Linked DNA regions of Xenopus tropicalis. The protein of the gene in region 1 interacts with the protein of each later gene in a pairwise test. Links are inferred from orthologs where the notes say so. Each region holds a gene or a part of one and is shown on either strand. Other genes may lie near its edges.

Region 1 (4,277 bases):
AGCTGCAAGTTGGGGTGATATCACCCTTATTATAATACACACATTTGACAGACTGTTAAATATTGGGTATTGGAAAATAAGTTGTATCCAGGCCTGAATGGGTTAACATGTTTCAAATGTGCAAACTGACTTGCCACTATATACCTCTATACATACACTATCCCTCACATATACCATTGTTCCCTAAGTCTGGAATGTGGTTGATCGGAAACATATGGTCTTAAGGGTAATACAGTGGGGGAGGGTTTTCCAGCAGGGATATACTGTATATCAACAACAAAAGGCTGGTCTCACAGATATACAGACACACAAACCCTTACACACTCACACAAGCTCTCACTTACACACATTTACTCTAACACACATGCATACATTTTGACTATTTTATATGAATACATACATACTTTGTATTGTATCGGGAAGCTGTCAATATTGTTTGTGACTGGCTTAATTACTGGTAATTTGTATGTAACTTTTGTAACTCTTTTCCACACATTAAATATACTTTAAATATCACCTTGGCGAGTGGCGTTTGTTGACCATAGTACTTACACAAATATATTAGAGAAAGGATAATTATAACACAGACATGCAACAGAAAATGACTTAAGTGCCATGTTTAAGGGCAGTGGGAGCCAATCAGAAGCATATATTCCTGGTGCCTACGCAGAAGAACATGACACATTGTATTCTCTGTATTAGCTGTAAGTGTGTATAGCTTGGCCAGCAGCTGCATCAATTTCTTGCATATGGTGGACTGGGCTGTTTGAGGCAGCAAAACACTTTCTTTCCAGTTGTATAAATATATATCAACTGCATTCATTTTAGGGATTCTGATAGAAACCATTAACTATGCGGGACAACTTGGCTTCTCCAAACAATAAAATCCAGAAAATGTCTGACAAGCTGCACCTTACACGGAACTCTGGGCAGCGCCCCATCCATTAGTCTCCATTGTCCCAGCTTACGTAAGTCTCCACCCCAGCACGCCCATGTACCTATGGCCCGTCAATACTTTTCCAACCCTTAAAGTAACTTTGGCACCCCTTTGCTGGAGGTGAGTAGGTACGACTTGTCACTAATTTGAGATACAGCTGGAAACAGCTTGCACAGCCAAAAGTTGAAATACTAAATGTTATCGTAACCTATAGATACCGCAAGAGCCACAGTATACTCTCAGTTAGCCATAAGGAACGGTCACATGACTGCCCCCTTGATGGTACCATCGCGAGATTGTACGAGAGCCGGTGGCCACAAGCAGTTCTACAAGTACTGGGAGAAAGCTTGCTGTGCACGGTGAGCGAACGCGGGGAATCATGGGGGAGCGGGCTATGGTGGGAGGAGCTTAGGGAGTCGTTGGTCCCCGCCTACTCCTCGGTTTCATTATGAATGGTTGTGCTGTTGTGAGTTTTCTTAGTGGCGGCTTATTGAGCCGGCCCTGGCCGCAGTGCGGAAATGGCATTCCCACTATTCTGCACTTTCAATGGATTATAGGTCTGAGCTGGCGCTGCGCATATTGCGCATTTAATAAAATGAAAAGGGAGCGCAGCTACAAGATTGCTGGAAATACTTGGGCAGCATGTAGAGAAGACGCCGCCGTAACAGTGTCATTTAGCTGGTGGAATTAATGTGCCGTCTAACATTCTGACTTTTTTCAATAAAGTCGTCTTATACCAAGTTCTTGATTTAAAATATAAATTGAAAAATGTGGCTTAATTCAAGTGTTAAAATATTTTCCTTGCAAATTCTTATTGTTTCAGTCTTTCTGCTTTTTAATGATGGGACTTTTTTTTAAGTCAAAATCATATCATGTGACTGCTATTTTAGAAGGTGCATTTATAAACACTGGACAAATTTGTGCCAGGGCGTTAACCCAAGACTGCCAATCAGATGTTTGTTTTCAACCTGCAGCTGGCTAAAACGATAAACCATGATTGCTTGATGGATTACTACCCATGTGCTAATTTTGCCATGTTTATAAATGAGCCCCACATAGATATTTTACTAGTTATCAGAAATGTACAACCTGCAGACGCACAGTTTTGTACTTCAGATCTCTATTTCTTAAACCGTGAAGAATATGATCAGAAATCCCCTGAGGAGTAACCTTATAGGTGTATTATGTAGTGGTTCCAGCCTATGAAAAACTGCATTTGTGTTATATGTAATGAGAGAAATTCTTTTTATTTTACTCTGTATAAAAAGACCCCAGCCTGCCCCCCTTGATCTGCAGAACTGTAAAAACACCTATAATCTCTCTCACATGCTGTGGCAGAGTGCATTTCTGAGAAAAGCTGGAAGGAGATAAATTACAATTGAGACAGTCATTACTGGTAGCCTTGAGCACATAGGGGAATTTCTACCTGATCACTAAGGGCTAAACTGCACTAGCATATTTGATCAGATTTTGTGGGTCAGATTTAACCTGATCCAGCATGCAACAGCACAAGATTTTGTAGGATTCTAAAAAATCTGATCTCTCTAGAGTTTAATGTAATATCTGGTCAGATAAAGTTTTTTCTTTTGTTCATGTGTCTACATGTGTGTCATGGTCAATGTATTTCGAAGAGTAAAAAACAGTCTTTCCGATGCCATCAGTTTTTATCTTTTCAGATGCAGATGCATCATGCAGCGTTCCCTTCTGATTATAATTTGACTTGCACAACTTTATCCAACTTGTCAGATGCGTTCTGTTGATCCAACACTATCCAACAAAAGCGCTTGAAGAATTTAACCCTTATACTTATCAATAAATATTATATTATTTTTAGTTACAAATAAAAACTTTTCTTATTTTGATGCCAAGGTCCCTTATAAGTTATATGAGCACATCCTGAAACAACAAAGTTTTATAGAAAAATTATATTTTATATAGTTTACTTGAGGCCATGCCTTATTTATAATGCTTTTGAACATGCAGTGAATGCAATATTCACAAAAGCTTTGTATTACTGGGCGACAAAATTGTATGTGATGAAGGGCTTCCAAGAATTTGGGTGTTCATATTGTATTATATTTGTATTATGTCAACGGCTCCTCTGCTGTTCATAATGACCCTCTTTCTTTTAAATATTACTGCCTATTCCACATATTCTCATGCCCATGCATAAATACATTATAACTCCCATAAACGGTTCAAATATATGTACTGACCATACTTTTTTTATTGTTCTTTTTAAAGAAATTATGGATTCTTCTTGCCACAGTCAAGTCCTTCTCCAGCAGCTGAATATGCAGCGTGAGTTTGGATTTCTTTGTGACTGCACAGTTGCAATTGGAGATGTATATTTTAAAGCACACAGAGCAGTTCTTGCAGCATTTTCAAACTACTTCAAGATGATCTTCATTCACCAGTCCAGGTTTGTTATGACCTAAATATCATGACAGCTTATTCATTACGAGCAGAAAAACAACATTTGTTCAAATAAAATGCACTTTGGACTTGCCACATCCAGGGAGAGGCTTCTATAATGGAAAGGGTATTATTTAGTCACCTTGTACAGCCTTTATATTAGGGCCCATTACTAACCTTGGGTGTTTTCCTGTCTAGTTTACTGGAACAAATACACGGCACCATAAAATCTAAACTTAATATGCAAAACAAATCCTCAAATTACTTGCAGATAAGGATGGAGTGCAGTGTACAGGCCAATTTGTGATTTGTTATAGGAGCAGGCCTTATGTATGAAAGCTTTGTGTTTTTCATCATCCATGCCTCCCAATGTTATTGTGCAAGGATCCATTTGTGTATATGCAATAGGCTTCTTCTTTTTGGGAGATTTCTAGTGCAGGTACAGGAATAGCAATAGATAAGGGTCAGCCAAACTGAAAAGCAACTGAGTGGAGACATAAGGACTGCCAACACTTTAGCTACAGTATTTTGAGTCAGTTTTATGGAAATTGTGGAGCAGCCCTGTGTACATCTCCAAATTTATCTGCACAGGTTATAGGTCCAGTCAAATATAGGGTCCCAAAAATATTTTAGTAAGCTTAGCACTCCCTTGTCCAATATTCAATATAATTCACCTTCAAAATAAGATTAGAAAAGATTGAAACAAGGTCATTACTATAACCTTTTATATACAGGGCTATTGGTTATGTATCCAGGAATTGGTTCAGCCTGACCAATACATATCTGAAATCATGTGAGCATAGAAAAATTTAAAAATTACAGTTGATGTTGGATTATGCAGATCTTTGATATCTTGATCAAATCTGAATATGCAAATTATGGCCCAGATTTGGTTTGGCATTCAGATGAATCTTTTGTAAAGGGT
Region 2 (3,830 bases), on another chromosome or scaffold:
ATGAACAGAACATCTCCACTACAGCTATGGCATCTGTTTTCTGGAATGCTTGAGGTTTTTTTTCATAATATGGATTGTTATACTACCACCAATATTGATTTATGGTACCTTATTAGGGATTGACTACATAGTACAGTTTTATTATTACAGAGAATAGGGAAATGCTTTCTGGATGTCTGATTCTGAGTAAGAGATCCCATATATCTATCAGCAGATGTTAGCCTACATTTTTCGTTAGTTTGTTGCTCACATGATTCATTGATTTGAGTGTGACGGCAATGAATGAATTTGTGCACAGACTTGCCTTGTGTAATTACCTTAAAATAGTAGACCTGCCCTTGTCAAACACTGGCTGCAAAATACTATCACTACATATTGTGTTACAGAAAGTTTTGTACAGAACTTATACCTTACTGCTGTCTTGGATGGCATAATTGATAAGCATAAAGATATATGGTCACCATAGACTGCATATTGTAATTGTTTACACTGATAGCTGAGTAAACATTAAATATTGTGTAACTGACAGATTTTTTTTCCATTATATTAATAGCTATTACCCATACTAACCCTTCCTTCCACTCATAGGGCCCTGACAGACAGGGAGATTAGTTGCACAAATCTCCCTTGTCGCGGGCGACTTAATCTCCCTGATTATGCCATCCCACCAGCTAGAATATAAATTGTCGGTGGGATGGCATACGCAGCGCGGCGTTTTGCCGAAAACATTGACGTTGCCTTGAGAGGAAACTTCTGTGATTTCGGCGCCGCGTATGCCATCCCACCGGCGATTTACATTCTAGCCGGTGGGATGGTGTATCGGGGAGATTAGTCGCCCGTGACAAGGGAGACTTGTTGCGCGCTGACTAATCTCCCCGTCTGCCACGGCCCTTAATGAACATGTAGGAAGGGTGGGTTAGTATGTAGGATAGCTATTAAAATAATATATTATAATATAACAGAAACCATTATTGTATCTGCTTTAACTGTATTTTTTGCATATTCTAGAACCGAAATATGTTGATTCATGTCACAGGTTTTCTTTATTAAATTTAATAGTTCTTGTTCAGTACCAAGCTAAAATATGCATTTGGGCTGTTAGAATTGTCCATAAAGTTCTGAGCTGCCCTCTGGTATTTGCAACCACTTCAAGCCAGAGTTTAGGTGCAAAAACTGGATCCTACTTACACGTTCTGTATTTGTAGCTGTTTCCAGCCTATGTATTCTGCTGTCTGTCCTAACTTAGAAAAATTAATTAAAAGTGACACAAGGCCAGAAGTGTCATTCTTCAGTGTCATAGCTGAAGTATATAAGTTCTCAATACCTCTGACTGATACAGCTGTAGAGTGACTGCTTCAACTGGGCTGGGCAACTAATTTACTTACAGTGGCACTAATGTCTCAAATCCAGAATGGCAGCTTACCACCACTTTCATCTAAATGTCTGAATTTCATAGACAATACTAAGTAAAAAATGAGTAGAAACCTCTTCGACCATCTTCACTGTCAGAAAGAAGAGAGCTCAGCAAAGAAATAGAGACAGAGCTTCACACTAGACTAGGAAGTAGCAGAGAGATCTTGAGTTGAGCTGCTTGTAATACAGAATGTGCATGAGAGTATTGTTCTGGGCACTATTTAGAATCATTTTAGATACAGGAAAAAAAGTTTACTTATTCTTTCAAAATAGGTATTGCAGCATAACTCAACATGATAACTATAAAGTTGGAGAAACTGCAGTTACTCTTTAAGATAACATTTTCTTTCCTATGTAATGTAGTTTATTTAACAGTTCAGCCTAATTTGTCTTTATTTTAATTGGCTAGGTTTGTTGGAGAGGCGATATTCATTCGATAAGCACAAGGGGGGGATTAAGCAATTCAGTCAAAAGCCATGTCTGTTCGGGAGTCTTTCAATCCAGAGAGCTATGAGCTTGATAAGAGCTTCCGCTTGACTCGCTTTGCAGAGCTGAAAGGCACTGGTTGCAAAGTTCCTCAAGATGTTTTGCAAAAACTACTGGAATCTTTGCAGGAGAATCACTTCCAGGAAGATGAACAGTTTCTAGGTGCAGTCATGCCAAGGCTTGGTGAGTATATGATATTTATTAGACCCCAAGCTAATAAGAAAGATACATCAATAATTTAATAAAATCATGTTCTCTTTTTCATTTTTATTGGGTTATGTCATACAGTCACAAAAGTAGGTTTCTGTGTGATGCTGTTTAGTTATTGCAGCGTATATTTTAGTTGTGAATTAATTTTCTCCAAGAGGAAGAGCAGACCACCCAGCTAAGACAACCTTAAATATTTTTCATTGGTGATATTTCCTTTTAAGGTTCTTTTAGAACTAAATAATATTTTTAAAAAATGCAATAAATTTTGATGTTTAACACAAGAAGAATCAGTCGGGTAATAAGAGAAACAGACTGATTCTAGATTAGGAAAGGGGTTAGGAATGGCTTGCACATGCGCCATAAAGTGAAAAGCCAAACTTTAACAAAAAAGCCAGTCTTTTCACTCTACTGTGCATGCACTGGCCCCGGGATTACCAAAAATAGATGAGAAAAGGAAAAGGATCGCTACCCTGGGCCACTGCAGTATTCTCCCAAGAGGAGCACCAACCCAGGGTATAAGGTAAGTGATTACAATCACTGGGGAGTTGACTAACATTTTGGTACACACCAGTTATTGTAGCTTCTTCTTTAATGTGGTAAATTGGTTGGTTAAATATTCGTTCTGGGAGTATAGTTTTCCTTCATGTGACCTGATTTTATTGAAAAGCACATTCTTAGTGGTGTTCTATGCAGTGGCTATTGTTGCTTGATTGGATAGAATTATTGACAGTTTAACTAAAACATCAATTTTGGAAGAGCCAAGGTGGCAATAAATTGCTTTATCAAAGGGATATTGTGTTAGCCAGACCTGTGTTCTTTCAGGTGTTTTCACAGTGATGCAAAGTAAAGATTACTTTTAAAATTGATCTTACAAAGAAACAGAATATGTTGGCCTTCTTCCAAGTAGTTAGTGTACTCTAAGGATTATAGAACCTGTTTGCCCATTTGTTGCTTGTAAAATACATAGCCACGATCATTTGGGATAGGGATGTGCATACAAACAGCTACAGATCCCACATCCCACAATTCATTAAACTGGTGCAAGAATTTGTGTAGTGTAGTTTGAATCATCTAAAGCAGCACTGTACAAAGTGTTTATTTTAAAATAATCTGATCATTTTAAATTGATGACATCATACAAAAAATATATGCTACCTAAGGCAAATATTGCTTGATAGACGTATTTAGTACATGCAGCCTTCAGTGAATTTTTTGCGTGGACTCAATATTTTTCCTTTTGTACCAAAGAAATATTTCTGGAATAAGTATATTTACAAGTACTAGGTACAGTTTATCCAGAACTTTTCAAGGGTTGAGATCCATGGGTAGATAGTGTTTTGTTTGCTTTTGTTTTTGCTAAAAGTATAACTATAATATAAATGACATGGACATTATTTATATTCTGCTTGATCCCACGTTCTGTTTATTTCTATTGGATTTTTAGAAGCATATTTATCAAATGGTGAGTTCTAACTTTCACTCATTGATAAATACACTTCTAAAAATCCCATAGGAATGAATAGAACGTGGGTGAGTTTTTTTTGTATTAAGCTCTAAACTCACATTTTGATAAATCTGCCCCTTCAAAAACTTAATTTCCTCACAGAAATACACTGCAACAAGCAGTCTGACAGCAAATGAGAAGCTACAGCTCATCTAATTTCCACATCTGCTGATGAACCAACTGTTTGCCTTAAACAAGCTTTTCATTTTGAACAGGG

The links.
Region 2: the proteins of zbtb25 (region 1) and sephs1 interact in binary tests that used the Homo sapiens proteins (3 or more experiments, as listed by UniProt). The two-hybrid records come from large-scale screens. The link is inferred for Xenopus tropicalis from reciprocal best matches to the Homo sapiens genes ZBTB25 and SEPHS1.

Annotation. Positions count from the first base shown.
Region 1 is NC_030684.2:101,006,447-101,010,723, forward strand, and holds the start of zbtb25 (zinc finger and BTB domain-containing protein 25), read left to right. Parts: upstream 1-1,346; 5' UTR 1,347-1,385; coding exon 1,386-1,494; intron 1,495-3,181; coding exon 3,182-3,359; intron 3,360-4,277. UniProt on the Homo sapiens protein: May be involved in transcriptional regulation.
Region 2 is NC_030679.2:81,800,732-81,804,561, forward strand, and holds part of sephs1 (selenide, water dikinase 1), read left to right. Parts: intron 1-1,822; 5' UTR 1,823-1,889; coding exon 1,890-2,082; intron 2,083-3,830. UniProt on the Homo sapiens protein: Synthesizes selenophosphate from selenide and ATP.